4 linked regions of the Lonchura striata genome follow. The protein of the gene in region 4 purifies or fractionates together with the protein of the main gene of each other region. This does not show direct contact. Links are inferred from orthologs where the notes say so. Each region holds a gene or a part of one and is shown on either strand. Other genes may lie near its edges.

Region 1 (7,937 bases), on a different chromosome or scaffold from region 4:
GAAGTAATTTGAAAGACAATGTTGCACAGCCCAGATTTACAGAATGTAGGTGGTCCAAGACAGAAGGTCAAAGTTAAGCTGAAGAGCTAACATCTGACTTCTGCTAAAAGATACTAATTCAGCTGTTTTCAGATTTTGAACCTTCAGCTGGCTTCAAGTATAGCAGTAGGTTCCACTCTGTCTGAAAAACTCACACAGAAAATAAATTCACTGTAACATCTACAGTCCTCTGAGTACTATTTTCCAGTCCCTGACTATAAAATGAAGTCCTTCTGACTTCTCCTGCAGAAGGTTTCATTTGCCTGTTTGTATAAATAAATAGTGACCTACAGGCATTCAAAATACATGCAGGTAGTGTCTGCATGTGCTCCACAGCTTTTGTCCTGGTGTACAAAACTCTAACTATATATTATTTCATGGATATTTTCCATAGTTGTCAGAATCTATGTTTTAAGAACACATTTTATATTCATTCTTCTGTCACCATCCTCTCAAGAGAAATACTTTTATCTTTACATTCTTGCTTTTTTTTTTTTTTAAGTGCAGTTGGAAAGCCGAAAATTGCAGAATAAACAGAATTAAAATAACTCAAAACTGATTAAGTTTAATTTCAAGTACAGTGATTAAGACTTACTGAATTTACAGCTAAATATACCACTGCATTGAAAGAAATTGATTAAGTATGGTTCAACATAACATATCTGAAAGTTTTGATTAATAAATGAGGTCAGTGGCCTCTGCCTTTCTAGTCAACCTACTTATTTTGCTTTAGTCCAGCTTCTCTGGGAAAAGCAGCATAATAAAGAATGGACTGTATTAGTGGATACAGTTTCTTTCTAATAGGACCTCAGGAAAACAACTGGCAAATTACAGATTTTCATATCTTTACTGTCCAGTTTTGCCTCAAATGCTCTCAACAGCTGGCATAAAACCCATGCTCACTCTCACAAGAAATCCTACCATTTTAGATTTCTTTTACTGTTCATGACTTAGAACTTTACTTTTTTTTTTTATTATTCATTTGGAATTTCATTAACCTAGACCTGCTTAGCTCTAAAATATGAAAAGCAATTAGAGCATTAAAAACAACCACAAACCATCAAGTCCGTAAAAACATTTTCATTTATTGAATGAAGACCAGAAAAATACAAGACAACTTTATATTTTTTTTTTAAAGCCAGCATAAGTCTGATGGATAACAATCTTTTAATTAAATTGCTTCACCTCTGACACATCCTAAAATATGTTTTCCATAGAGAAAACCACCCTTACCATTACAACTTAAAATAATTTTCACTCAGATAAGTCCAACCAGTATAATGAAAATAACCGCATCTGTTTTAAAGGACCTTGCAGACAACAGACATTTCATCTAAATAAAAACAGTTGTCCAAAGAGTGGGCATAAACCACAAGCACTAAGCTATCCATAGGAAAGAAATCAGCAACAAGATATGCCTCTTGCTGCTTGTTGCTAGGTCAGTGCAAGCTGGGATAAGATACGATAAAAATAGGGAAATAAGATTTATAGTGCATTCCTGCTTCAGGTGAGCAAAATGTAAAGGAAGAAATCAGACCTGTTTTTCTAAGCCACAAGTTTGTTTATTTACAGTCCTTTAACTGTTCTGACAACTTCACCATAAGCAAAACAAAAACATCAAAAGCAAAAACAAAGAAAATGTTTATAACAGTGAAACGCAAAGAGATCACTAAAGGAGAAAGAAGACTGTTTACTTGTTATAAGAATGATCAGAAAATCTGGAAAACTGAAGCGTGATTATGATTCTAACTACATTTTAAACAATGAATATTTGTAGTTTAGGTTTAATCTGATGTTCTGTCAGAGCTAGGATGGCTTAATATTTTACTGGCTTTTGACTCAGAGCTTTTGAGTCTATGGTTAGAAGCTGTTAACCTGCAATAAGTGAAGAAATTGCAGAAGGAAGACTATTTAAAAAAACAGTAGAACTGTGCAGAATGGTAAACTCTCCTCTGGGAACAAGATCATCCCAAATTTCAGACATCTGCACCTTGCTAAGAGATCATTTTCAGGTTCCTAATTAGGATAATAGAAGAGGCAAGGAGGAAAGATGTTTGGTCACCCAGCTCATGGACGCTTCTGGACTGCAAGGTAGTCCAAATGAGGCAGAAATGTAGCACTGTGTAGGAAGTTGAAAAAAAAAAAAAATCCAAGTCTCAGAGAAGCGTAATCTCTCCAGACAGAAGAATGAAAGCAACCATCTCTCAACCAGCATGTTATTTCGATTCCTCCCACACTCCTTACCCTGTTTTTTCGTATTGCATTTGCCTAGGTACTCATTCATTTTGGGCAGCTATATCTGAAACTTGATGGCATAACTAAATGCGAAGCCAAAAAAGAAAAAAACTAAAACAAAACATAAAATCAGTCCTGAAAATAACCAGCTTTTCAACAAGTCCTGCAAGTAACCAGCTTTGACTCACCTCTCTACCCTGCTCATTTCCTCTCTCCCCCACCCAGCACACCCACACTTCACTGAGCCAAACGACCCCATCATTTCACACGGGTCGGACGGGACGATGTCGGAAGTCTTTTCCAACCGAATGGACTCTGGGACTTGGCGCAGCTCTGGCTCAGCCCGTGCAGCCCGGCGCTCCCCCGGGCCGCTGTCAGACACACGAGACACAGGCAAAGGCCACGGAGCCGCTGCTGCCGGCCCTGGGGCCGGGACAGTGCCACCAGCGCTGGGAAGGGCTCCCCGGCCCGGGCCCGGCCTCGCCCGGGAGCGTCACCCGGCAGGACACCGAGTGCCGCCGGTGGCAGGAACCCCCCGCCCTGCCGACAGCGCCCCGGCAGGGGGCTGGGGAGGAGCAAGAGCTGCTGCAGCCGGGAAGGCACCGGGGGGGAGCCGGCCGGAGCCCAGCGACGCCCCCTGAGCCGCCAGAGCCGTCGCCGACAGCTCCGTCCCCACGGGGCCGGGGCGGGGACGCGACGCTCGACCCCGCCCGGGGAGCGGAAGGCGGGGGGAGACCGAAGGGAGGGGGGCAGCCTCCGCCCCGGGGAGGCGGGGGGGGGGAAGGAAAGGGAAGGGGCCGGAGCTGCCCCGCAGCGCCCGCCGGGGGCCGGGGCAGGGCCGGGGCCGGGGCCGGTCACTCACCGCCCGCCGCCGCTCGCATCCGGCACCTGCGGCCGCCCCGCTCCCGGCAGCGCCCCGCGCCCGCAGGCGCCGCCAGCCGCCGCCCGAGCGCATCGAGGGAGCGCCGAGCCACCGAGGCGGGCGGGGGAGGCCGCCGGGCCCGAGCCGCGCCCCGGCGGGAGCCGCGCCCCCGGCAGGCCCCGCCCCCTGCCCGCCTCCCCCCCTCAGTCCCGGCCCTGCGCGGGGCTCCTGAGGGCCCCCGGAGAAAATGGGGGTCGGTTCTCCCGTGGATGAGGAGCAAGGGAAGAAAAAACATATTTAATTATAACAGTCTTGACTATGGCAGTGACAACAGCGACAGGACCCTGAGAGAGCTCAAGAAGCGTTTGGACAATGCTCTCAGGCGCGTGGGGCGACTCTGGGGACGGCGCTGTGCAGGGCCAGGAGTTGGACTCGGTGATCCTTATGGGTCCCTTCCAGCTCAGCAGATTCTGTGATTCTGTGAACAAAAGTAATAAATTATAATAAAACCACCCCCAAGCACTGCGCCTATAGGCAGAGACTCGCCCAGCAGTAGTGTTGGGACTCCCAGCCTGAGGTGTGAGGGAGGCTGCCCAGGGAGGTCGTGGAGTCTCCCTCCCTGGAGACATTCCAAACCCACCTGGACATGTTCCCGTGTCACCTGCTCCAGGTGACCCTGCCTTGCAGGGGGCTTGGACTGGACGGTCTCCAGAGGTCCCTTCCAACCCCAACCATTCTGTGATTCTGTGAGGGGAGGTGCAGAAGGATGGGTGGGGGGCAAAAGCCCAGGCACAAATACTCAAGCAGTGCTGTCAGCCCCAGGTGACATAAATCTGTCCTCCTTTCATGATAAACCAGTAAAAATGTTTCTTTCCAAAACCACAGGCTGCCTATGGGAATTCTGAACACAAGTTCATTTCCTTATGGAAAGACTCAGGAGATTTCCTTTTTCACTCTTTGTTGGTATTCTTCAGTATTTGGTTGCAAAAGCCACATTCAGACAAAAAGGTTACTGGGAAGGAGAGGAAAAGCAATGAAAGAAAAAAAAAAAAAAAAAAAACCCACACCAGCAAGGAAGACTCCATTCCTAGTTATGCCAAACCAGGCCAAAGCAGGATACTAATGGGAAGGCAAATTACCTTGCATAAAACCTTAAAGCACCATAAAAAGCACCATAAAAAAAAATGTGTGGCCACACCCCACACACTTCCTAACTTTGCTTTCATAGGTTAAAGGTGCTCAGGTTAAATTAGCAGACTGGAATATGTCATATTATGAATAAGCAATACATTTCTGACTCTTTCCTCTTCTCTGTAAAACATTATGCAATATCTTTCTGGGGAAAAACAAAAGCAGATGGTACCTGTCTTTTCTATAAGTTTCCGCAGTTATAACTAGTTACTGCGGTTTTCTGCTGAGATCCAATACATAAAAAGAGCTCCTTGGTTCTCCAAGAAAAGAGAGAAATAAAATATTAAAAAAAAGTGCAACCGTTTGCCACCCAGTTCAAAATTATATTTTTTCTCCATGACAGCTTGTTTGAATTTTCTCATTGAATGCCTGTCATCAGATGTGCCAAAGAAAACCACTCTTTGAGAGGTTTGGTGGATTCAGAAGGCCCCACCCAGCACACTGCATACCTGGGCCCCAGCCCAGTGCCCTCTGAGAGGGGACACCTGTGCCCAAAAAGCCCATTGACTTTTGTGGGAGTCCATAAAGGGAACTATGTACCCAGAAGGTTTTGTAATAAACAACCATGAGTTTAGATTTAGTTCAAGTGATAAATTTCAGTGCCAAACTATAGTTCGGTTACAGATTTGATCGAATATTCACCTCTGTTGTAAGTGAAAAGACCCTAAATAGGTGAATCATTAAGAGGGAACATGAACTTGAAAAGTGTCAACCTCTCCAGTGTTAAGCCCCCAAGTGAGGACAAGCTGACAGATCTTTTGCTTGTGAAAATATCACCCAGCCTTTAGAGATTTTAAGCTGCTATTTCTAAAAGGCTTCTCAGCAGTATTTTTATGCAGATCATGGTCCTTGGGAATTTGTCAGAACAGCACAACTCCTGCAAGAACAGAAGCCTTATAAATGACTTGTGTACCTTCTTCACTGGCATCCACACAGGCAAATCCTCCTATTTCCACAAGCAGCATGCAGGAATCATATGATCTATAGGGCCCTGGATAATACTGTCAATGCAGAACTTCCTGTGTGGTGCACTTTGTTGAATCTGCTGTGGGTGGTTTCCCCAGCTGATGTTTAGTGACCATCACCTACCCCTTCAGTGACACCAGAACAAAGCTGACAGTGACTGACTGCAGATGTGACCCTCTGGAGAAAAGAAACACTACCCCGCATATCTCTTTGGAACAAAAGGAAGAAAATTAGTGTGGTTAAAAAAAATATATATCTGTCATATATATATAACTTATGATGTATATACCATAATATATAGTATATATTTGCTGTCATATATAATGCTGCTAATATAAATATATTACTCTATGGAACTCCAGATGCTGTTAAAGAGATTAATCTATGCAGTTAAAACTGAGGAAAGAAGTGACAATTTGTAATGTAATGACCTGGTAAATAGTAAGTGTTATACCTCATAGAGGTCACAAGAGTAATTGCTCATTCATGCCTTTTTCTAATCCATTTCTGCAGATTTGACAGTGATCTGTAAACATTATATCTCTCTACAAAGTTAGGTAAACAGATTTGAAAGCCAAAGAGATTATTATGATCATCTTGTCTAACCTGAATATTGAAAGCTGTAGAATTTCCTCCAGCCATTCCCACAGCAAGGTCTTTCTGTAGCTGTTTTTTTAAAAAAGGCATCTTCATTTTATTTCAAAGAATAAAATTTGTTATTTATTTATTTTTGAGAAATGGCCAATCCATCATTGCACTTTTGAAGATTTCTCAGTGGTTATGCTAACATGTACCACACTACCTTAATGTGTAAAAAAAACTTGATTGAAATATAAATGTTGTTTGAAAAGGTAAATTCATCTAGCTGCAGCATCTGTCCATTGCAAGCCTGCTTCTTGTTAACAGAAATATCTTCCTTTTGAAGATGTTTGTGAAATGCAGCAGATTTACTCCTTCACCTTCTCTTAACAAACTGTATGGATTAACTTTGATTCTGCACTGTATAAGTGCCTTTCCAGAACTGTTTTCTGAATGCCTTCAAGCTTACAGCTGTTGCCTAAATTTTTTTGACATGTGAACATCCAAACCAGACCTTCTCCTACTCTTGTTTAAATTTGTGAGGTGAATATTATAACCAGGGAAATCTGAGGAACAGGAAAATCCTAAGAAGCATAAGGTTGAAAATGACCTTAAGAAATCCCCCTTTCCTGTTATTTTCCATGCCCCAAGACATGATCTTTTGTTGCAACATAACTGCTTTTTAAATCTTGTTCTTAAAGGCTTCTCAGTATGGTGCTTTTGCCATCTCCTCAGGCAATTTTTCCCAGTGTTTCTCTACCCTTATCACTAGAGGTCTTTTTTCCTAATGTATGTTCTAAATAGGTCCCCTACCGGAATTTAAGTCCATTAGTGAAAAGTCTGTCTTTCCTGGCCTGGAGAACAGACTCTTTGCTTCCTCCCTGTAGCTGTCTTTTCCATATTTAAAGACCCTGTATCTTCTTTGCCTCATTATTACAAACTGTCCCATTAATAGCCTGATATTTAATGTTGTCTGGACTGGTAATCAAGCTTGAACTCCCCTGCACTCCTCTGCAGACACCCAGTGTCATTCTGGAAGCACAATTCCCCAAGCCAAGCATGATTCAGATGAAAAACTTAAAAAAAAAACCTACCCCAAACCACTAAAATTTAAGCTGTACCATGGGGTAGCAGAGCAAAATAATTGCTTTGCCTATTTTGCAGGCTGTTTCCCTGTTTCAATCCCATTTTCCTTTTTACAACAGCATAACAGTGATGACTCGTGCTTAGCCTGTGATTCACTCTACATTTTTTCCAGGCAACTATAATCCTGTTTACTTTTCCCCATCCTGTATCTGGGGAACTGATGATGCTATGTCTATTGCACCTATTGAATACCATCTTTTGTATTTTTCTTAAAAAAAATCTCCTCATAACCACTTTGTCAAATTCCCTTTGAATTCTAATTCTGTTCTCTAACACTCTTTTATTTGCTCTCTTTTTCATGTCCTCTTCAAATGTATCAAGCTTAGTCTCTACTCCATTCTTTGGATGTTTATAAAGAGTATCAGATACCTTGAGAAACCTCTTTCAATACATCTCTCCTTTTGATAATGACCCCATTTTGCTAACTCTTCCTCAGAAATAGTCTTGCCTTTTCTTACACCATGGAGCTTTCAATTTGGACCATATTGTCTTTGCTTATTCACAAGAAACATTGTCTACAGCCTTACTAAAATGAAGATATATGAATTTTTAATACTTCTCTCCTTTGTGTAACACCTATTACCTTATTTTAAAAGGAGGTCTTATTGGTTTAATAGGATTTGTTCTTGACAAATCCATGGTCATCATTATTTGTCCATCTTGTAATGCATACAGATGGTTTGCTTCACAATTGCCAAAAAAGGAACCTATCTGATTTATAACTCACCATCTTCTATTTTCCTGTGTGTACATAACCTAAAGCCTGTTTGAAATTAAGAGGGCTGCTTCCATGACCATATCGTGTCTTCTGAACTAGAAATCAGTAACCTGCCAAAGCCATGGCAGCAGAATCAGGAGCAGAGCCAAAAAGCCCAGCACGTCCTCAACTGCCCTAACAAATCTATAATCACTGCACAAC
Region 2 (7,579 bases), on a different chromosome or scaffold from region 4:
CATAAGAGAGAGAGCAAAATGCCAGGAGCAGAAATTCTGCCTAGAAGCCAAAGCAATCATTCCTTCAGCTGTGCCCAAACACCACCTTCCCCAGGCAGCAAACCCACAAGGGACAAGCAGGGGACAAACAGCAGGGCTGTGTCTGTCCCCCTCTCATCCACAGGTTCCAGGTCCATGACCCACCACACGGTTCAGCTCCGGGCTGTCGGGGTTGTTGTCCTGGAAGTATTCCACTGCCTTCTGGATTTTGTCCATGCAATTCAAGTATTCCTCCAACCTCCCCGTGGGGCTAAAAATAAAACCAGAAATAAAAGGTAGTGCCCTAAGAAACAAACAAACAAACAAAATAACACGAAAGCAACAGACCAGACTTGGGATAAAAACAACAATCCCCTTTTCCTCAGCTAGGAGGAATTCCCTTCTGCCTGCACTCAGTGCCACAGCAGGATACCCAACCCACACAGCAAGTGCAGCAGCACTGGTGATGGAGCAGCACACAAGTCTCAGCCTTGCTTTCCTCTCCCAGACAGGCCCTGATGGAAGGCAGAGGGAACTGCACATCCCATCTCAGACAAGAACCATCCAACACCCTCCCAGACAAGGAGGCTCCAGAACAGCTCTGGTACATCCTGGATGTAGTAACAACTTCAATGGGCAAGGAAAAGCTTTGGGAAAAGATCAGAAGACAACAGAAAAGCTACCGCTGCTCATGGAGATTGCAATGGGAGCACCTCTGAGAGATCTGGAAGAGATCCCAGTACAGAGTCTGAGCTGTCTTTGCCCTGTGGAAATGGCTGAATGTCAAGCCAGTGTGGACTGAGGAAAGAATGTGGGAAGGGTACCAAGCATACCAAGGGTGTGTGAAGTCAGGTCCCCCACCTCTATCTCAAAAATCCAACAGGATGAAGCTCCCAGCAGGATTTATCTGCTCAACTCACCCTTCCTTGATGATCTTCTCTGTGTCCTTGGCCACATGGTAGTAACTGATGACGTGATCCAAGCAGGACAGGGTCTTCTCCACGTTCTCCTGCAGGCGCTGCAGGTTCTCTGTCTGTTTGTGGACAGGGATGATGGAGTTCTCCAGCTTCATCAAACGGCTCTCAAAGGAGGAGAGGATTGAAACCTACACACCACGAGAGAAACCAACAGCTCAGGACTTCCTTCCTATGGAGTGGGGTAGGAATTAGAGCAGGGAAGTCAGGGATCTTCAAGGCCTAGCTTTTCTTTTTGGGCTCTGCTACTAATTTGCCATGGTTCCTTAGCAGCTGTTTCCACCCCTCTATGTTCTAGTTTTTACTAACAATCACAAAACAGATCACCTGCCATATAGGGATGGGCCAATCCCAAAAAGTGAAGATAACGTTCTAAGACAGAAAAAAGGACAAGCAAAATTTTATTCACCAACAGAAAATAAAGCCGCAGAAACTTGCCTGGAGGTGCCCCATGTAAAAAGAGCAGCAAAATCACAAACCAGCAGCTCCTTTGCTCCACAGTGAGACCCAAACAGGAGCTGCACAAGTACCAGTCTAGTGAGAACCTTCTTTTGCACCACAGACATTTGGTTTTTAAAGAGGATCGTGACAGTGCTGCTGACAGGAGGAAAACCAAAGCAAGCTCATAAAAGGGTGCCTCAGAATCATCTTTTCTAGGCTCAAAGGTAATTCCTACAAGACTCACTCCTGTGTCATGTTTTCCACACTTCTCTGGTGGTGCCTCTATGACTTTTTTAAAGCACTGAGACCAAGACTGGACATAGTATATAAACTGAGGGCTTATAAGCAATTACAACACAATAATTACTTTTTATCTTTGCACAGAACACTCGCAAAATAAAACTCCAAACAAAACCTGAATTATGAAACAACAACATGATGCTGTTTATCTGAGGTTTCTTAATACTTTTTCCCCAAGAGAGAGGACTGATTGTAGCAGAGATGAGGCCAACAGCTCATCTGAACCCTCAGCAGAGCAGGAGAGAAGCTCAGTATTGAAGCATTTCTCAGGTTTCCCCTTTGCCCAGTCACTGAAGTCCAAAGTGGTTCATTGCTCCACATCCCTCAGATGGGCATCACAACAGCCTTGAAAACTCATAAACCTAAAAACCTAAGAAAAAGTAAAGCCAGGCCCAACATAAGGACATCCCTACCATGTTCTTGGTGAGCTGGTCACTCTTCTCAAGGCTCTCTTTGATAAAGGACAGAGTTTCTTCTTCCTGCGAGTAAGATGAAAAAGAAATTACTCTAAAATTCTGAACACTAAGGTTTAAGTCACTAAACAGCACACACAGGTTTTTACCAACCTTGTAAACTCTGCTGCAAGCCATGTTTGGTCTGATGCTGATTCTGTGGCCACATTTTAATATTACCACCTCTTAACAGAAAGCAGGGCAAGTAACCCAAGGTGGGGACACATAATGTAATGAGCCAGGAGGTTTATGAATTCACTGTTTCCCTTTATGGGCATTAAAGGGAAACACAGCACAAAATAAAATGAACACTTTTCCCATTGAGGCACAACGACTCAGCACACATTTCCCTGCCACAGCACAACACAGGTGCTGCACCTTCCAAACACACCGGGAACTCAAGTGTCCGATGCAAAGCAGCCACCAAGGGCTGGTTTTAAGTCATTAAAGCCCACAGATGGTGGAGGGACCCCAAAGCCCACAGGCAGAGGGGAATGGCAGCCTGTCAGGACAGAACCTGACTGTGGGGAGAGCCCACCGACCCTGCCGAGAACGCAGAGGGGAAACCCAGGCCCACAGTGGGGAGCAGAGATACCCCCATTCCTGCAAACCAGGCCTTGAAGAGGACCTGAGGGTGCTCCCAAGCCAGCAGGGGGATGATGAGCGCCTTGAGGGGTCCCGGGACGCCCCCAGGCCCGGTGAGGACCGCCAGACCCAGCCTCGCCTGCCCGGCAGCGCCAGGGGGCTGCGGGCCCGGCCCCAAGCCCCGGCAGCGCCCGCAGAGCGCCCCAAGCCCACCCCCACCTGCTTGAGCTTGTCCTCGATCTCCCTCCTGCGGGCCGACACCTCCTCGCTCGGGATCATCGCGCCGCAGCCGCCCCGCCGCTCGCTCCCACCGCGCCCGGCCCGTCACTGCCGCGCCGCCATGACGGGCGCGGCGGCGCGCACCGCGCATGCGCAAAGAGCGCCGCCGCCATCTTGAGAGTGGCGCCGAGCGAGAAGGACCCGCGGGGAGCGGCGGCGCATGCGCATTGCCCTGCCCGCGGCCATGTCGGGGGTGGCGGGAGGGGCTGCGCCGCCATCTTGGGAGTGGCGCGATGGGTCACAGAACCCAAATCAATTAATTTGGGTTCCCAGATCCTCGGGTCCAGCCCGTGCCCCCACACCCCCTTGGCAAGCAGAACATGGCACCGAGTGTCACGTCCAGGCTTTAACATCTCCAGGGACAGTGCCCCCACCACCTCCCTGAGCAGCCCGTTCCATTGTCTAATCACAATTTTTGTGAATAAATTCCTCCTCATCTCCAACCTAAAGTTCCCCTGGCACAGCTTGAAGCTATGTCCTCTCGTCCTGAGCGTGGCACTGTTGCGTAAAATTTTCTTAAGAGAGGATGTGCTTTGATGTTTGATCTTTGTGTACTTTCAAGCCTAATGGACAATAAAGGAGATTTAATCCAGGAAAGACACAGCAGCCAACAAGTTCTAAGTGATGTGCAGGTGTTAGAAAAACAAACTGCATATTGGTAGAATTGCCTTGTTATGGTTTAGGGTTTGACATTTTTAAATTATCTCGGGGTAGGCTAACAAAGCTTGGGACAAGGATGTGCTGATAGTGGGTACAAAAAAGGCAGAATTTACAGGCCATGAGGACATTTGACAGAACCCCCAAGATAAGGAAGGAACTTATAAAACAACTCAGCAATTAGGATAAATCAGCTCTGACTAACTGTAATTTCAGCAGGGGCAGATCCAAGGAACCCACCAACCCAAAAGAAGAGAAGGACTGAGCACATGGACTAATTAGCGTGGCAAACAAGAGAATAATTTCCCAACAGAAGATAGAATAATAACAATCATTAATAGGAGAACTATGTAACTTGCGGCCAATTAACACAAATTCCTTTGCTAAAATGCATAAATAGTAAAAAGTTTTGACCGTGGTAATGGCTTGATTTGTGGAGTCCCAACAAGCACCCAGGTTTCTTCAGCTCTGAAATAAATAATCAGCGTCTCTCTTGAGTGTGTCATAATTGGTTTATTGCACTGGGGGTAACAAATATGAATTTGTGCACAACAGATGTGGAGGAGGCCAGGGGTTTGAGCTCAGGAAGGTGAAATTATAAAAATGTGAGTGTGAACTCCTGCACCCTTAGGGAGAAAGGTTATCCCACGGGAGAGCACAGGGGGGATGGCCGGGGTGTCACACCCTGGGGGCTCTGCATGTCCCTAAACTACCCAAGCCCAGAGCAGGGAGTGTTTCTCCAGCACCTGCAGGTCCTGCAGCCCCAGCTCCCGCTGCCCTGCCCCGCTCCAAGGCTCCTGCCACACGCAGGGACTGGTGTGTGCCCATCCATCTTCCCCTTGTCAGGCCACCCCGAGCTCCAGAGAGAAGATTTTTTTTATACAACAATGGATTTCACAACCCACCCTGTCCTGCTGCCCACGCATGTGCCCAAGCTCTGGCTCTGTTTTTTCCCCTGTGTGGCCACAAACACCTGCCTGTGTTTTGTGGGGATACCTGGTAAAGGGGATTTGGGGGTATAAGAGAGGAGATCCCTGTCCAAGCTCAGCACCCAGCACCTTTTGTGCTTCCCCACACTGGGCTGGTGTGATTGGGAAAGATCTTTCTCCCAGAAGAGCAGATCCATATCTTTCTTTACAGAATTCCATGCTCTTTCTGCCAGCATTCACCCCTTCATTCAAAGGGCAGCCCGAGCCAGAAGGAACCTCCCCTGGGGAGCAGTTGTGTGTGTTTTGTCCAATAATGCTGTTTCTTTCCTGAAAACCCACCCAAAAGGACCCCTCACCCCTCATGGAGCAACAGTCCCTTAGAGCAAAGTCGGAGAGATACACCCACCCCAAGTGCCAGCTGTGTGGGATGTTAAGGAGTGAATAAACATACAGAAATAAATGCACAGCATTGTGTAAAAACTGCTGGACTCTGTGCAAACGTGAGGTGCAGCAGCACATCTAAAAGGAAGCAGCAGGAAAAAAAAATAATGCTGGTCAAACAGAAAGAGTCCAAGGGGTTATTTTGGGTAAAAGGAAAAAGAAAGGGTACAAATGCTGCAGTTTGAGCTGATGCCTCAGGTTTTAGCTTTTCTGGTTTTCAAGGTTCTATTCTGCTTTAGTTTGTAAGTGCAGGTTTCATATGAGGGGATGGTGAGCTTTCTGTACAGAGTAGGGAGACAAAACAAATCTTTCCCCAGCTGGGGACCAAGGACAAATCATCCAAATCTCAGGCCCAAGAGATGGAATGAAGAGAGAAAACAAAAGGATGGAACTTCATGAGTTAAACTCCAATCTGCAAATGGAGCAGAATTTATCAAAGTGAGAGAGTGCATTTGTGACCATTTTGGGTTGTGCTGCCCGAGGTGGATCTATTGAGGCCACTTAATAAATCCCGATTTATTCTAGTCTGTTCTTCACAAGGCATCAGAGCGTGTTCTACCACAGGGCAAACCACACGCCCGTGCTGCCAGTGCCCGCAGGACCAGCAGGGCTGCAACCGGCGGAGCGGCAGCTCCGGGACAATCCCGCTCCGTTCCCGCTCCAATCCTGCTCCAATCCCGCTCCATTCCCGGGACAATCCCGCTCCAATCCCGCTCCAATCCTGCTCCAATCCCGCTCCGTTCCCGGGACAATCCCGCTCCAATCCCGCTCCAATCCCGCTCCAATCCCGCTCCGTTCCCGGGACAATCCCGCTCCAATCCCGCTCCAATCCCGCTCCAATCCCGCTCCAATCCTGCTCCAATCCCGCTCCGGTCCCGGGACAATCCCGCTCCAATCCCGCTCCGTTCCCGGGACAATCCCGCTCCAATCCCGCTCCAATCCTGCTCCAATCCCGCTCCGTTCCCGGGACAATCCCGCTCCAATCCCGCTCCAATCCCGCTCCGGTCCCGGGACAATCCCCCTCCAATCCCGCTCCAATCCCGCTCCGGTCCCGCTCCAATCCCGCACCAATCCCGCTCCGTTCCCGCTCCGTTCCCGCTCCAATCCCGCTCCGTTCCCGTTCCAATCCCGCTCCGTTCCCTTTCCAATCCCGCTCCGTTCCCGCTCCGATCCCGCTCCGTTCCCGTTCCAATCCCGCTCCGTTCCCGCTCCGTTCCCGTTCCAATCCCGCTCCGTTCCCGCTCCAATCCCGCTCCGTTCCCGCTCCAATCCCGCTCCGTTCCAGTTCCAATCCCGCTCCAATCCCGCTCCGTTCCCGTTCCAATCCCGCTCCAATCCCGCTCCGTTCCCATTCCAATCCCGCTCCGTTCCCGTTCCAATCCCGTTCCAATCCCGCTCCGTTCCAGTTCCAATCCCGTTCCAATCCCGCTCCGTTCCCGTTCCAATCCCGCTCCGTTCCCGCTCCAATCCCGCTCCGTTCCCGCTCCGTTCCCGCTCCGTTCCCGCTCCCTTCCCGCCCCGTTCCCGCCCCGTTCCCGCCCCGTCCCCGCTCCGCTCCCGCCGCCGCTCCCGCCGCCGTCCCGCGGGCTCCAGCCCTGCCTGCCGCTGGACACGGGAATGAATGCCGCCGCTTCCCCCGCCGGACAAGGGATTTCCACTGTCAGCACCGGCACAAAAGGTGGGAAATTCAGCCAGCTGTGAGAAAAGCCTGTAGTAAAACAAGAAACACTTCACAGTTACAGATTTCTCCAAAGAACTACCAGTCATAAAGAAACTGAGAGCCACAAAAAGCTATTTTTTTTTCTTTTAAAGAAGTCTCCATAACAGTAACAAGAAGGTTTCTCTCCCTAAGTGAGCTTAAAAAAGACTGTTTTAGAAGTAATAAGCTGACTAAAATGTAAAGTTTTATTCCCTAAGTGAGCTACAAAAAGACTATTTTAGAAGTAATAAGCTGACTAAAATTTTAAGTTTTATTCCTTTACATTATCAGTAAAAAAAAAGTTATTGAGAGAAGAGAAATACTCTAAAGGTTTTGTTCTAATTCTTATTATGCTTTCTTTCAGTTTTATTATTATATATTATTACATATTATTATATTATATATTATTATATTTTATTATATATATTATTTTATTAAATTATGTTAATTATATTATATTATATTATATTATATTATATTATATTATATTATATTATATTATATTATGATGTTATACTGTTATATTATTATATTTTTTATATTTTATTTTTTAATATTATAAGTTTCTATCATTTTTTTATACCCATTTAAAGTTTTAAACCTACTTTACTTTTCTCCTAATCCCACCTCACAATAGAAAATTAGTACATTAGGGATTAACCAGCGCTAAACCCACCACACTCAACACTACATTAGCCAAAAAAAATCTCAAAACTAACAAAATCTCAAATTAGCAAACCAAAACCACTGCAGTGCCTGACTAAGGATCGCATCCTCAGTGCAGTGCTCGCTTGGGGGTTGGCA
Region 3 (7,238 bases), on a different chromosome or scaffold from region 4:
TTATCACTCAGTAACTCCTCATGCAGACTGACTCAAGTAACTACTTTGTGCTCAGCCTCCTTGGCTACACTTTAAAAATAACTGGCTGATACCACATAAAAACAATTTCCCTACAAGTCACTCATCTCTTTAACCAAGTCCTTCCTGATACACAACGTGAAATTTCCTTTACAAGAATCCTCTTCATCAAAAGCCACAATGCCACGTTTCATGCCAAGTGTAAATTCCCTCCTTATGCCATCTTGAGATCTAAAAGTTTGGAACACTTTTGTAATTTAATTACAGGTGAAATGAGTCATTCAGTGCAGTAACATTCCATTCAGGGGAGGCTTCCAGCTTCCCAATTACCTCAGGGCTCTTTGCAGGACTTCTCCTTTATATGAAAATCCCCAATTTTTCCTCTGAAGATCCTGTAATTTAGCTGAGGTACCACTCTGGTTACAAGGATGCTAAAGCCAAGTATGGAAGAACCCTGAATAAAGGGTTTACTAACACTCTGTGTGTGCAGATAACATTTTCTACATTTCTCCCTTTCCCAGATGTTCATACTAAAAGATAATTCACCAACACACATATAATGGCTTTAAATATTTTTTCATTTTTGTAAAACAACACTCATAAAGTTTTTCTGCAAGCCTCTTCCCCTAAGGAAATCTGATGTAGATGCCTCAGAACCCAAAACAATATTATAATGCCAATCTTTCTCCACCCCATCATGCCTCTATATACCTCTAAATATTCCTTGAGTTCATGTGTACACAAACCTGTACCTCCTTTCCTGGAAAATACCTGATTTTTCAAGAATACTTACACAGGAGACCTGTCCTTCAGTTTTTAAATCATATAAATAGTGTTTTATATTATTTAAGAAATATTAACTGCAGTGGCTATTATGTGCAGGATCAACAGAGAAATAAAATGAGCTTCCCTTTTCAATTTTCTACAGAGGGTGTGCTAGAAATAATCTACTCGATTTATATAGAATAAATGAAGTTCAACAGTATCTTTCTAAGACATGATTTTCCAGGTTCCACTGCAGATCCAAAACTTCTTACTTTAGTTTGTATCTTCCATACACGTTTGCTTTTTTAAATGCTATCTTGATAACAGGGTTCCTCATAGCTGACAGCCTAACTCCTATTTTAAGTCCCCTATCCTGGTCTGCAGAAATTGCTGAAAATCAGCTATTACAAATGTCATTTGCAAGTCCTTTGCCTGTTATCAGATGAGCCCCAACAGTCAATTTCTCCAGCTTTGAACTTCCCTCTGGCTCCAGAGGAATTAATGTGATCCCATCCATTCAGCCAATACTCCTGATTTAATAAGAGATATGCCTGAAGTGGGTCATAACCTGGTTTGATCTGGTGTTTACAAATGAAGCTACACTGGACACAGCCAGTTTAAAAACCAGTTTAGAAGCATCCACTGTTAAATTATGCTTTAAGTTATGTGAGGGAGAATTCAGTCCATGTTATGCCCATTTTCAACACAGATCCTGCTGCACAAGTTCCCATATCTGTACTGAAATATACTTAAAACACACACTCATGAAAATATGGTAATCAAATTCCATCCTCAGCAGACAGCTAAGGGCTACTCCCATAACAAGCAGATTTTTATGTTTTTATATAAGGCAAAAATTTCAAACTAACCAAGTAGGCAACATTAAATTAGCGGACATCAACAAAAACTCTCTTGCCTTTGGAGTGAAAGTGAACTGAAAGTGGGAGAGACAGAAATACTGGATTCCATGTTGGAAAGGCATAATTTCTAGCCCCAATCTCCAGGCAAAAGTCTCACCTAATTTGCAATTTTATCTTTATTGCTATTGCAAAATGGAAAAAGCTGTTGCACGACCCAAATCAGCCAAAACACAGTTTTCTTTCCATATTCAAATCACCTCACACTCAACACCCCACAAAGAATAGAATGGCACTGTCATCATGTTGAGAAATCAAGGGGCTCCTAGAGTGGTGTAGGGAGGGTACAAAACCTGGCATCCAGCCACAGGAACACAGTATTTTAGTCCTGCTATTTTTTAAAGCTATGCAAACCAAAAGATGTGAGTCATAACACTCGTGTGCCATCACAATGATTCACAAACTCAAATGCACACAGTGCATTTACATGAACCCCAGAGATGGGTTCTTCCAGAGAAAATGGAAGACCCTTTCCTGAAGGCTGGGCAATGTGAGTCCCAATAATAACCCACCAGAAAAACAAACAGTTCTTGAGTGACTTGGAGAGCAAATACAGGACACCTGGGGATGACACCATGACACAGGGGTGAAGAGGAAGTGGGGACACCACACTTTCTGTTTAACACAGGCCACATCACAAGAGTTCATGGTCCAGGCCAGAAGCTGAAGCCACAGAATCACAGAAGGGTTTGGGTTGGAAGAGACCTCAAAGATCATCTTGTTCCAACCCCCTGCCATGGGCAGGGACACCTTCCACTATCCAAACCCCATCCAACCTGGCCCTGAGCACTGCCAGGGACAGGGCAGCCACAGCTTCTCTGTGCCAGGGCCTCAACACCCTCACAGTCGAGAGTGGTAGTATTCTAATATCCAGCCTTTCAGCTTGAAGCCATTCCCCCTGTCCTGTCACTACACATTTCTGTAAGAATTCCCCCTCCATCCCTTTGGCAGGCTCCCTTCAGGAGGGAGACGATCCTCGTGCATCCCTTCCAACTTAGGGCATTCCGCAATCCCACGGGAAGAATCTGACAGACTCCTGCTATTCCCGTCCTGCTCCTGCGTGGCCTTGGCCGAGCTATTCCCCTTCCTCGCCTCGAGTAAAGGGAGGGCAAACTCTTTATTCCTTTATTCCGCTCCATCCCCGCCGTTCCCACCGCGCCGGGGCCGGGCAAGGCAGCGCGGGGCCGGGCCCGGCGTGGCCGTGCGGCAGCGAGGCGCTGCAGCGGGGCCGGGAGGGCACCGCGCCCCGCGGGGCGGCACCGCGGCTCCCCAGCCCCGCGCACCGCCCGCCCTGCCCCGCCGACAGCCCGCCGCGTCCCCTCGGCGAGCCGGCCCCCCGCCCGCGGGGCCCGCACCCACCTCGAAGAGCTCGGCCGTGGTGGCCATGGCCGCAGGGAGGGAGGGAGGGAAAGGGAAAGAGAGGGAAGGAGGGCGGCGGCCCCTCAGCGCCCCGTGGCCGCCGCCGCCCCGCCGCTGCCGCCCATTGTGTCCCCCCGCCCCGGCAGCAGCAGCGGCGGCCGCGGCGCCGCCTCCGCCCGCCGGAAATGGCGCCGCGCCGGGCGGCCACGGCGCGGCCGCGGCTCCTCCCCGGCCGCCATCGGCACCGCCGGCATCGCTGCCACCATCGCCGCCACCATCGCTGCCACCATCGCCGCCACCGGCACCGCCACCGGCATGGCCCTGCGGGCGCTGTGGCTCCTCAGGCGCGGCCGGCGGCGCCGTGCTCTTCTCCAGGTAGCGACGGTACCGCGGGCACGGCGAGCTGGGCAGTCCGAGGGTCGGGCTGGGGAGTCCCGGTGATCTGGAAGGGATCCAGGTGCTCTGAGGGATCCGAGTGCCCTGGAGGGAAGGGTGTTCTTGAGGGGAGCGGATGCTCTGGGGGGTCCGGGTGCTCTGGAGGGAGGCGGGCGCTCTGGGGAGAGCAGATGCCCTCAGGGGGCGCGGATGTTCCTGAGGGGGGTCTGGGAGTCTGGAAGCTCTGAAGAAAATCCTGATATCCTGGGGGGATCGGGTGTTCTGGGGGTCTGGAAGCCCTGAAGAAAATCCTGATATCTTGGGGGGATCGGGTGTTCTGGGGATCTGGAAGCTCTGAAGAAAATCCTGATATCCTGGGGGGATCGGGTGTTCTGGGGGTCTGGAAGCCCTGAAGAAAATCCTGATATCCTGGGGGGATCGGGTGCTCTGGGGGTCTGGAAGCCCTGAAGAAAATCCTGATGTCCCGGGGGGATCGGGTGCTCTGGGGGTCTGGATGTTCTGAAGGAAATCCCGGTGCCCTGCGGGTTTAGGGTGCTCTGGATGCCCTGAAGGAAATCCTGGTGTCCTGCGGGGATCAGATGCTCTGGGGGTCTGGATGTCTTGAAGGAAATCTTGGTGCCCGGGGGGATTGGGTGCTCTGGGGGTCTGGATGCCCTGAAGGAAATCCTGGTGTCCTGGGGGGATCGGGTGCTCTGGATGTCTGCAGAAAATCCTGGTTCCCTGGAGGGATTGAGTGTTCTGGGGGTCTGGAGGAAATCCTGGTGCCCTGGGGGGATTGGGTGCTCTGGGGGTCTGGATGCCCTGAAGGAAATCCTGGTGTCCTGCGGGGATCAGATGCTCTGGGGGTCTGGATGCCCTGAAGGAAATCCTGGTGTCCTGGGGGGATCGGGTGCTCTGGGGCTCTGCAGAAAATTCTGGTGTCCTGGGGGGATTGGGTGCTCTGGGGGTCTGGGTGTCCTGGGGGGACACTGCTGCCCTGTGGGTCTAGGATGCTGCCCCCAAAACGGATGCAAAAACCACCAAAACCATCTGATACTGAATAAATTCCTCGTCTCGTGCCAGCGCCGCTGGATGCTGTGCATTTCTGACTCCAATTTTAGAAAGTTCAGAATCAGAGTCACATAATGTGCTTTTAACTAAATATGGGAGCTTTTTCACAGCTTCTGCATTTTGCATGAGTTTCCTTGCTCCGTTCCTCTTTCTTTTTTGTCACTGTAAACATTTTGCCCAGCTCTTCTCCTTCCTAACATGGTAAAGGACAAGGCAGTGATTGTGAAATACTGTCAGATTAACAAAAATGGGCAAAACAGATATATAAGCATATATTATTGCTTGTATTTTCCTTATATTTTTTTCATGTTGCTCTGTAGCTGTAGGTAAAATAGAGTACTTTCAGACAGAAATTCAGCTTTCTGTTTGATGCTAATTTGTGCATATAAACACTTTTTTAAAAAGTTATTGGGGGATTTTTAAGTTATTGAATACTAAAGAGTTCTCCAAAGGAACAGTTTTTATACAGAATTCTTGCAGATATAAAGGAAGACTTTTGGCTTAGCGGGTTACTGTTATTGGGCTGGCAAGATTTGTTACCCTTTTTGTTACTCTTCTTCTGTGACTTCAGAGAAAGCCAGATAATGAGAAGAAAAATAACTGGGGCTAGGGAAAGTTTGTGGGGAAAAAAAAAAAAAAGTCCTGGATAAAGTGACCTACAGTCCTAGTCTGAATTTAGTAAAAGCAAAGAGAGAACTTAGGAGTAAAAATAAAAAAAACAACTATCTTCCATCTTCAGGTGCAGACAGATCTCTCCATTGGACACTCCTCTGATTGTTTTAGGATTAGTATTATGGTCCTTGTATTACCTACAGGACTAGAGATGAGGCCTCCCCTCTACAAACACAGATAAAGAGAAAGCCTTGTCCCCAAAACCTCGGAGAGTGTAATCACCACGGAGCAGGGGGGGCTGCTGACAGGGGTGTCTGAAGTGACTTGTCACACAGTGAGCGGCAGAGACAAGGAGTAGCACTCCTTTGAAAAGGGCAAACTATCCTCGATGCTTCAAGTGATTTCCAGACTTAGATCTTTCAAGTTCCCAGAGGAAATAATAGGGCTGTGGAAGCCCCAAGTTTATCCTCCTAACTGACCTTAAATTCAACAAAGCACGCAGACAATATAAAGAATGCCCGGATCACATGGAAACTGTTGGTTTCAGGACTTAGGCACTCAGCTGGAGATACGTGAGCCCTGATCTTTGACCTCAGGGAAGACATCGGGGACATCAAAGCATTCCCCCTCTTTTTTTTTTTTTTTTTAGCTGATCATAACTTAATTCAGGCAACAAGGATGGTCTCCCTCTTGAGTCACCGAAGTTCATTCATCCTTGGAAACTTTTGTCTTTTTTATTTTTTTAAGTTTGCATCACTTTCTAGAAGGGAATACTGAAAAACGGGGATTTGAAGGGCTAACTAATGATCTAATGACTTCAGTGGGAGGAGGAGGCTGCTGTGGTGTGGGGACAGCTTCAGCAAATGCAGCAGAGAGACTGGGACTTGACTAAGACAAAACCAGACTGAAATATCTCCTCTTCCCTTGTTTTGGAAACGTTGGCCAAAAAGAAGAGCTGCTCACCAAGGTTGCACATAACCTCTTATCAACACCCTGGCTCTGCAAAGCCTCATAAATTTTATAGCTGTAAACCCACTTGGTTTCTTTGCTCTTCACAATAAAATGTGGGACCACAGGGAGGTGTTTTGCTGTCATCTGTATCCTGTTTACGAATTTTGTCGCTGTGGCTTTGCCCTGTCTATGTTTAGACAAAAATAAAAAAAACAACCCCAAAAGCCCTTGATGCCTGATTAGGAATGAAAGAAAAAAAAATCACAGTCACGGTAAATAAGCCTGAGGAAGTGTAGTTGCCTCCAGCTACTCAGTTAAGAGAAAATGATGTAGAGCACTTAGAGGCAAGAGGATAAGATCCATGGAAGTGCTCAGGAGCAGGAGGGAAGTGCTGCAGATGGAGGTCATAGATAAAACAAAGTCCCACGTTGCTGGGATTGCAAGTTCCATGGCAGTTTGGAAAGCAGGCTGTCAATGTGTCCTAAAAAAGACGGTATAAAAGGGACAGCAAATGAGAGCCTTTATATATCTGTGCAGTTTTTTTCTTCCATGTTGGCATGCAAGCCTGGGTCTGAGTGCAAACAAACATCTGAGAACATCTGCTTCAAGATGATCCATAAAGTGATTTAATTTTGTGTGTGTGACCTGTGAGGGGCACTTTGAGGGTCTGTGGATAACTACTGAGGGAATCCACAAAACAGAATGTAGGAAAGCCAGGCTGTCAGCAAACTTCATGTAAGAGACACTCAGGGGAGTCTGCAGTTCCAAACCAGGGCACAACCAGTGCAGTCATGGAAGTAATATTTTTTTATTTTCTCAGCTATTTATTAAAAGTCAACTCCTTAGTTCCTCCTTAGGCTACCTTGAAAAGAAATTCATCCCACTCCCCTTTAAACAACAATACTGCAGGACATAAAAATCCCAGATATAGTTTTAAACAGTTAATATGATATTCCTCAAATATTATCTCTAGAAAATTTGAAATTAAATATATGTATTGGTACAACATAGCAATTCTAAGTTGTACAAAACCTCTGTCCATGACATTATTGTTACATCTTAAATACTTGATAAAATGAAATTATGAAAAAGTCATAAAAGCTTTAAGTCACATATATTGTATGTGCAGTGTGGAGTTATTATTGTTATAGCAGCAAAGCTGTAGCACTA
Region 4 (7,566 bases):
GTGAGCCTTGGCTTGATGTTTCTTCGGCAGCACGAGCCATCCTAGCAGGCAATCCACAGTCGTTCTCATCATCTTCTGGGTGAGCAGCAGAGAGTTTTGGAAACTCACTCTTTAAAGCTAAGCTGCTCTTCTCACCAGCACCTTTGGTATGAAGCAGAAAGATACTGCCATGGGGTAATTTTTCCAGTTTTATCTTGTTTTTAGGGATTGGTGATGTCCTTACTGCTGAATGATGCAATGAGCCATGTGCTTCACTGTTTGCAGTGGAGCTGATGGCATTTGTGTTTTTCTCTGAAAGTACACCGTCTCCTCCTCCAAGCCGATGTCCCGTTCCACTAAAAGGAGTCAAGTCTTTGCAATTACCATGCATTTGTGTCTTGCCTGCAAAATCAGATTAAAAAATAAATTAATATTTTCATTAAAAAGTCATGGGCTTATTATTTGAAGTGCTTCACACAAAAAAATCTGCTGCTTGAAAATAATGCGTCAAACTAAACATTTTGTAGACAATACAGTTGAGGAGCAGCCTAGAAGTGCAAAAACAAAAGGCCCTGTTCTTTGGCTACATAACAGTAACATCAAAACCAAGCTTATGTAGTGTTTGGTCCATATTTGTTCAAGAAAACTTCTGGACAAAAATCAGTTCAGAAAAGAAAAAAAAAATCATAAAATACCTTCATTAGTTGACTTGAAATGTGGAGGTTTTGCTGCCTGAGTTTTCTGCTTGGACTTCTCCGAGAATTTCTCTGGCTCTTTCACTTTTGTGAACGTGCCCCCACACGTCCTTTGATGTTCATCCCACCAGAAGTCATGTGCAGAGGGTGCTCTGTTCATTGAGCGCTTCACATATCCAAAGTAAGGCGCTCTGTTTTGGCAGGGGCCATTGCACCGCCACCAGTGCTGGCGGTACACATTAATCTCATCATAAAAATCGTGATAGATCTACATTTAGAAAAACAAACAAACAAACAAAATCCACAAAAGAACAGTCACTCAGGAAGTTACAAATTTTATATCACTAGCTCTAAAATGTTTTTTAAAAAAATCTGTTTCCATTCAATTCCTTCCACTACTGCTGTGATTTTTATATTAGCAGTTAAGAGCTAGATCTGAGTAAAAATTTATCAACAATGCTTTAAAAAAAAGATAGGAAGCGTAGGAATATGTCCTGGTTATCTTGTTGGAACTGCAAAAAGATAATTTTGGAAATCTATCTACAATTTCACATAGAAGATGTACTGTTTAGAAAGCATTTCAAACAATACCAGTATTGTATTCTCCTTTCAGTTATTACCTTAATTGATCTTATTAGATGCATTATTTTTAAATATTGACAGAAATATTGACCCTCTATTGACATAAATCTTGACTGCTCTTCACATGGAGCACTTCTGTCCCTGCTACCATTTAAGCTCTTTCTAATTTACCACAAAAGCTTAAAGAAAAATTCTTACAGAGAACATACCTGAAAATTACATGACTAACAGCTCACCACATCTTCCTCAACCTCTTTCCACCACCATCCCCAACAAATAACTATGGAACTAGCATACACTTGGATGCAAATTTGTATTGGTACCAACTGTGGAGTGTCTAATAAGAACATTACTTAATATGCACCAGTCAACCAAAACAGCAAATCAGGAAGAAAGCTCTATTAAAGAAGGTGAAGAGGATTATTCTTACTGTGACATTGGCTCCAGTCAGGAGATTAATACGACGCATGTGCTTGCAGAACTCAGGTCCATGGGACTCACGATCTTTGTAGTTATGAGTAACAAAGAGCAGGGCGTGGATCATTTCGTGCAACAGCGTCTGAAATGATGCAACCATTAGATATTCAATGAAAAGCATTGCATTTTCAGTTTCATTATTAAGCTGCAAGTATTGTACTCTTCTACATTGATTGTGGTTACTGATCTTATCTTTGATTATTCACATACTCAGTCTGGGTCATAAAAACATAATACTTTGATCTATCAAACCAAATTACCCCTATTCCCACATCACTAAAACACACTGCATAATATCACTTCCATAAGCAGCATTCCAAAAAGGAGATATAATCCTCAAATTTAAATTGGATCTTTAAAGACATCATCCCCTACACAGCCCCCAAAAAGAGCCATTTTGAGCAAGCTGAAATTCTACAGCATTTCTGTTGTTAGGCAAATCTGAATGTTCAGCCAGCTCCAAGCAGCAACTCTGGCAGAGGCCCAAAAGCAATAAAATGTCATGTTAAGTCATAACCTATATCCTTATTTTCTGCTGTTGGCCCTTTCAAAACTATAGTCCATGTTTGGTTTGAATATTAAAGGATAATTTTGGAGTTAAAAGCCTGGGGTGTTATTTTCTCTATATAAAGTCAATAAAATAAACAAGTGACTTAAGACTTCTACTGGGAGTTGCCCACTTAGAAACATAAAACTAAAGATTACCATGGTACTGCAACACAAGCCACATGAATGTAACAGTAAAGCCAGTGCTATTTTATGACCTATAAGTTACTGCATAACAGAATCCCACTATGAAATCTAAAATGTTTGTATGAAGTGGCGGGTGTGCACAAAACACTTCACGTGCAGATTCATAAGCCATGTTCGAATACCTCCACAAGATCCTTCCTCGGCCGTAACTTTAGAAGCGGCTCACTGAGACGAATGGAACACAACCCACTACTTTTGTGATATGAACAGATACCAGCAGAGCTGAAAGGAAAGAAGAAAGAAAATACAAAAATGTATTTGTTTCTTTCTTCATTGTAGCACATGAAGAAAACAGAGAATTTAAGTCAGAATGCCATCCCCTGTAAACACATGCTAGGTCACTCAGAACATGGAATAAAATCACTTTGAGTAGTTACCTGAAAAATTCAGCATCATTAAGCAAAGAAAGAAAATATCCACAAGTTCCTTATAGTAGAAAAACCTGGTTTTTAAGGTAGAAGAATGTTTCCTTTAGAACTTGTGATGAACTAAAATACACTGCACAGAGGCTGGAGATTCACGGCAGCAAATGCAGACTTAATTGGCAGTTGTTTCAATTTTACTCCCCACCCTTCATCAACTTTTGGCTCATACTGAACCTACATATACCTCCACTTCTGTGCACTAATCCAGCAAACACGACTTTTTTTTGTTTGTGTTAGTCCTACTGAGTTAGCCCTCAATCGGTGCAACATCCAACTGTTTCCAAATGTCTAAAGAATACCGCAGCCAGCAGAGGATACGAGGTGGTGGGACTTCCAGCTGCTAGCAACTGCATCTGCTGCAGAACTGCAGCCTGCACTTTAAAGATTTCTAGGTTTGTTTAACCTCAGATTTCTTCTATGTTCCCCTTCCTAGCCCATTCTAAATTTTTCTAATATACTATTATTGGTTCATATTTGTCCTTCTGCTGTGCAGTAAAACTATCATAAAAACTGAGAACCAGAGCAGCAACACGAGCATGTGAGGCTTCCATACACATCATCTAAGACCAAGTAATTTCTTCCATTTAACATCCCTCCAGCTTGCCTGCATCCCGTGGAAAGCCATTGGTGGCTGCCACGGACGACAGATGCAAGGCAAGGGAGACAATGACGGCGACCAACTCACGTCCCGCCGTCCGGGCTCTGCCGGCGCTGCGGAACATCCGAGTGCCCGGGAAGAGAAGCCACGGCACCAGCAGGGCGCTAGCGGGGCACGGCGAGGAGCAGCACAGACAAGCGACAGCTCCTGCCGACACCGCGCACGCCGGCGGCGGCGGCACGGCGGCAGCTCCCGGACACACGGACCGGCCCGGGACAGCCCAGCCCCGGCAGCTCGGCCCACATCCCCCTGCCGCACCTGGTCATGCGGGGGCTCCAGGACACCGTGACAGCCTCCAGCTTGCCCCAGAAGAGCGTCTGGTTGAAGTGCACGAACAGGCCGTGCACGTCCGGGCTGGGGTCCAGCAGCTCCCACGCCTCGTCCACCACCGACAGCGGGCGGAGGGATGAGCCGTACGGAGAGACATCAGGGCGCTTTGCTGCCGCCGCCGCTGCCTCGTCCTGCTCTTCCCAGTCCCTCTGCAGCCTGAGGGCCAACAGGAAATCCTCGTCCTCCATCCCGAGCGCGGCTCCGTCGGCCGGCACAGAGCGCAACCGGAACGCGCAGCGGCCGCGACGCACGCGCAGCACCGCCCCGCGGGCGCCGCCGCCGCGTCCTTCCGAGTGCGCGGGCCGGCACATCCCTGCGCCGCTTCCCTTCCCTTCCTTCCCTTCTCCTCGCTTGCTCCGCTCCGCCTCCGCCGGCGCGGCCCCATCCCGTCACCGCAGGCAGTCGCTCCGGCCGCGGGGCGCAGGCGCGGCGGGTGTCGCCGGGCGGGTACCGGGCGGACATGGCGCTGTCGCTGGGCGAGGGCGGCGGCGGGAGCCGGCTGCGGCGGCAGCTGGAGTCGGGCGGCTTCGCGGCGGGGGAGTACGTGAAGCAGCTGTCGCAGCAGTCGGACGGGGACCGGGACCTGCAGGAGCACCGGCAGCGCATCCAGGCGCTGAGCGAGGAGACGGCGCAGAGCCTGAAGCGCAATGTCTACCAAAACTACCGGCAGTTCATCGAGACGGCGCGGGAGATCAGCTACCTGGAGAGCGAGATGTACCAGCTCAGCCACATCCTCACCGAGCAGAAGGGCATCATGGAGGCCGTCACCCAGGCCCTGCTCCTCCAAGCCGACCGCGACGACCCCGCGCTGGGCGCCCGCCGCGCCGCCGCCGCCGACCCCTTCCTGCCGCTGTCGGCCAAGGAGGCGGCGGCCAGCGAGGAGGGGCGGCAGCGCACTCTCACCACCCTCCTGGAGAAGGTGGAGGGCTGCCGCGACCTCCTGCCCGAGAGCCCTGGCAAGTACCTGGTGTACAACGGCGACCTGGTGGAGTACGACGCGGACCACATGGCGCAGATCCAGCGGGTGCACGCCTTCCTGATGAACGACTGCCTGCTCGTGGCCACCGCCCTGCCCAGCCGCCGCGGCGCCTACCGCTACGACGCCCTGTACCCCCTCGACGGGCTGGCCGTGGTCAACGTCAAGGACAACCCGCCTATGAAGGACATGTTCAAACTGCTCATGTTCCCCGAGAGCCGCATCTTCCAGGCTGAGAACGCCAAGATCAAGAAGGAGTGGCTGGAGGTGCTGGAGGAGACCAAGCGCAGCCGCGCCCTCAGCGAGAAGCGGCGCCTGGAGCAGGAGGCTCTGCCCCGGCCCGCGCCCGCGCCCCCCGAGTCCACCAACCCCTTCGACGAGGACGAGGAGGAGGAGGATGAGCCCTCCGCCGAGGAGGAGGTTGTTGACCTCTCACTTGAGTGGATCCAAGAGCTGCCCGAGGACCTGGACGTCTGCATTGCCCAGCGGGACTTCGAGGGGGCGGTTGACCTGTTGGATAAGCTGAACGAGTACCTGGCGGACAAGCCTGCGAGCCAGCCCGTGAAGGAGCTGCGGGCCAAGGTGGATGAGCGCGTCCGGCAGCTGACGGACGTGCTGGTGTTCGAGCTGTCCCCGGACCGCTCGCTGCGCGGAGGGCCGCGGGCCACCCGCCGGGCCGTGTCCCAGCTCATTCGCCTGGGCCAGTCCACCAAGGCGTGCGAGCTGTTCCTGAAGAACCGGGCGGCCGCGGTGCAGACCGCCATCCGGCAGCTGCGCATCGAGGGCGCCACGCTGCTCTACATCCACAAGCTCTGCCACGTCTTCTTCACCAGCCTGCTGGAGACGGCCAGGGAGTTTGAGACGGACTTCGCCGGCAACAACGGCTGCTACTCGGCGTTTGTTGTCTGGGCCCGCTCGTCCATGAGGATGTTTGTAGACGCCTTCAGTAAGCAAGTGTTTGATAGCAAGGAGAGTTTGTCAACTGCGGCAGAGTGTGTCAAGGTAAGAGAGTCCAAAGAGTTGGGTGGTGGGGCACAGCAGCTGAAACAAAGGCTTCAAAGCTTTAAAGTCTCGTCTCTAACTCTGGTTTGGTTGTTGACTCTTGTGTGGGTCTCCAGAAAGATTTCCTGAGTTGAAAGATTAATATTCATTCGAGGTTTGTTTGGTTTTTTTTCAGTTTAACAGAGGAAATCCTTAAGGTTATAATACAGGCCAAGGAAAACCCTGCCTTTATCAGGAATGCAAAATGTGTTAATTCTTAATTTACCTGTAACTAGTAGGAGGTCCTAAAATTTACATGAACTACACCTGAATTATAAGTACTTCAAAACTTTCTCTTTGTTCTCCAAGGCTGTCTTTAGGTACATTTTCATACTTTTTTTGCAAGACTAACTTTCTCAGGTTATGCTTTCTTTTGGCTGCTGATTGGGAGGGGGGGAAAAAAAGTTTGTGCATGTGGGTTACATAGTGTAATTGTCCAGAGTTTTTTTGACAGCCAGGGTGTATCTTTCAGTTATTAATTTCTCATTAATGAGATTCTTAAAGCACGATAAACAAGTATGAGTAACCCATCTCAGTTTTCTGAGATGAATTTGATAAATGTGTAAGGTGAAAAGGGAGCCTGCACACTAATAACATCCTTTGCTTTTCTTTGTTATCCCAGGTGGCTAAAGAGCACTGCAAGCAGCTGAGCGAGATTGGACTGGATCTCACCTTCATTATTCACGCCCTTCTGGTAAAGGATATCAAAGGTGCTTTGCAGAGCTACAAGGATATCATCATCGAGGCCACCAAGCACCGCAACTCTGAGGAGATGTGGAGAAGGATGAACCTGATGACTCCAGAGGCACTGGGGAAGCTCAGGGAGGAGATGAGGAGCTGTGGGGTGGGCAATTTTGACCAATACACGGGGGATGACTGCTGGGTCAACCTCAGTTACACTGTAGTAGCTTTCACTAAGCAGACTATGGCCTTCTTGGAGGAAGCGTTAAAGCTTTACTTCCCAGAGCTGCATATGGTTCTCCTGGAGAGTCTGGTGGAAATCATCCTGGTGGCTGTCCAGCATGTCGATTACAGTTTACGGTGTGAACAGGACCCGGAGAAAAAAGCATTCATTAGGCAGAATGCCTCTTTCCTGTATGAAACTGTCCTTCCTGTTGTGGAAAAAAGGTTTGAGGAAGGAGTTGGAAAGCCAGCCAAGCAGCTACAGGATCTGAGAAATGCCTCAAGATTGATGCGTGTAAATCCGGAAAGTACCACCTCTGTGGTGTGAAGTGAACCTAACTGTTCCTCAGAACAAGGTGGCAGCACTTACTGAAGATTGTTGTACATTGAACAGATGAACTAAACAGGGGTTTTTTGAGTCCCTGAAAGATGCAGAACTCTTATCTGCTGCATTCCAGAAGCTGAAGACTTTGAATCAATGCCTGCAAGCATGCAATGCTTTACTTGTTGGATGGGGTGTAGGGAAGTGAGAAGGTGGAGGTCACATGTCCTTGACAGCATATCCTCTATGAAGGGCTTGTGTAGTATTTGTGACGTGGGAAATAACTGTAATACACAAATTTTGGCCAATTGTTTGTGAAAGTCTTACATACATATACAGCAGATGGCAGGAAAAGATCAATTCTCATCATGTCACTGTAGCAGTTCTTTTTTAAGGCAGTGTTCTGGTAGGAGGGTAAGTGCTGA

The links.
Region 1: the proteins of EXOC8 (region 4) and EXOC2 purify together in Homo sapiens (affinity purification with mass spectrometry; 7 studies listed by BioGRID and IntAct, counting the BioPlex papers as one, with this or other methods). This does not show direct contact. The link is inferred for Lonchura striata from reciprocal best matches to the Homo sapiens genes EXOC8 and EXOC2.
Region 2: the proteins of EXOC8 (region 4) and EXOC7 purify together in Homo sapiens (affinity purification with mass spectrometry; 4 studies listed by BioGRID and IntAct, counting the BioPlex papers as one, with this or other methods). This does not show direct contact. The link is inferred for Lonchura striata from reciprocal best matches to the Homo sapiens genes EXOC8 and EXOC7.
Region 3: the proteins of EXOC8 (region 4) and EXOC5 purify together in Homo sapiens (affinity purification with mass spectrometry; 5 studies listed by BioGRID and IntAct, counting the BioPlex papers as one, with this or other methods). This does not show direct contact. The link is inferred for Lonchura striata from reciprocal best matches to the Homo sapiens genes EXOC8 and EXOC5.

What each region holds. Positions count from the first base shown.
Region 1 is NC_134603.1:95,192,627-95,200,563, forward strand, and holds the start of EXOC2 (exocyst complex component 2), read right to left. Parts: upstream 3,219-7,937; 5' UTR 3,137-3,218; intron 1-3,136. UniProt on the Homo sapiens protein: Component of the exocyst complex involved in the docking of exocytic vesicles with fusion sites on the plasma membrane.
Region 2 is NC_134621.1:4,238,897-4,246,475, reverse strand, and holds the start of EXOC7 (exocyst complex component 7), read right to left. Parts: upstream 3,148-7,579; 5' UTR 3,050-3,147; coding exon 2,990-3,049; intron 2,213-2,989; coding exon 2,147-2,212; intron 1,124-2,146; coding exon 939-1,123; intron 290-938; coding exon 184-289; intron 1-183. UniProt on the Homo sapiens protein: Component of the exocyst complex involved in the docking of exocytic vesicles with fusion sites on the plasma membrane.
Region 3 is NC_134608.1:4,354,733-4,361,970, forward strand, and holds the start of EXOC5 (exocyst complex component 5), read right to left. Parts: upstream 3,211-7,238; 5' UTR 3,087-3,210; coding exon 3,060-3,086; intron 1-3,059. UniProt on the Homo sapiens protein: Component of the exocyst complex involved in the docking of exocytic vesicles with fusion sites on the plasma membrane.
Region 4 is NC_134605.1:43,611,414-43,618,979, reverse strand, and holds the start of EXOC8 (exocyst complex component 8), read left to right. Parts: upstream 1-4,334; 5' UTR 4,335-4,359; coding exon 4,360-5,877; intron 5,878-6,538; coding exon 6,539-7,147; 3' UTR 7,148-7,566. Other genes in the region: DNA-dependent metalloprotease SPRTN, read right to left, coding at 1-381, 675-942, 1,687-1,815, 2,609-2,708, 3,828-4,087. UniProt on the Homo sapiens protein: Component of the exocyst complex involved in the docking of exocytic vesicles with fusion sites on the plasma membrane.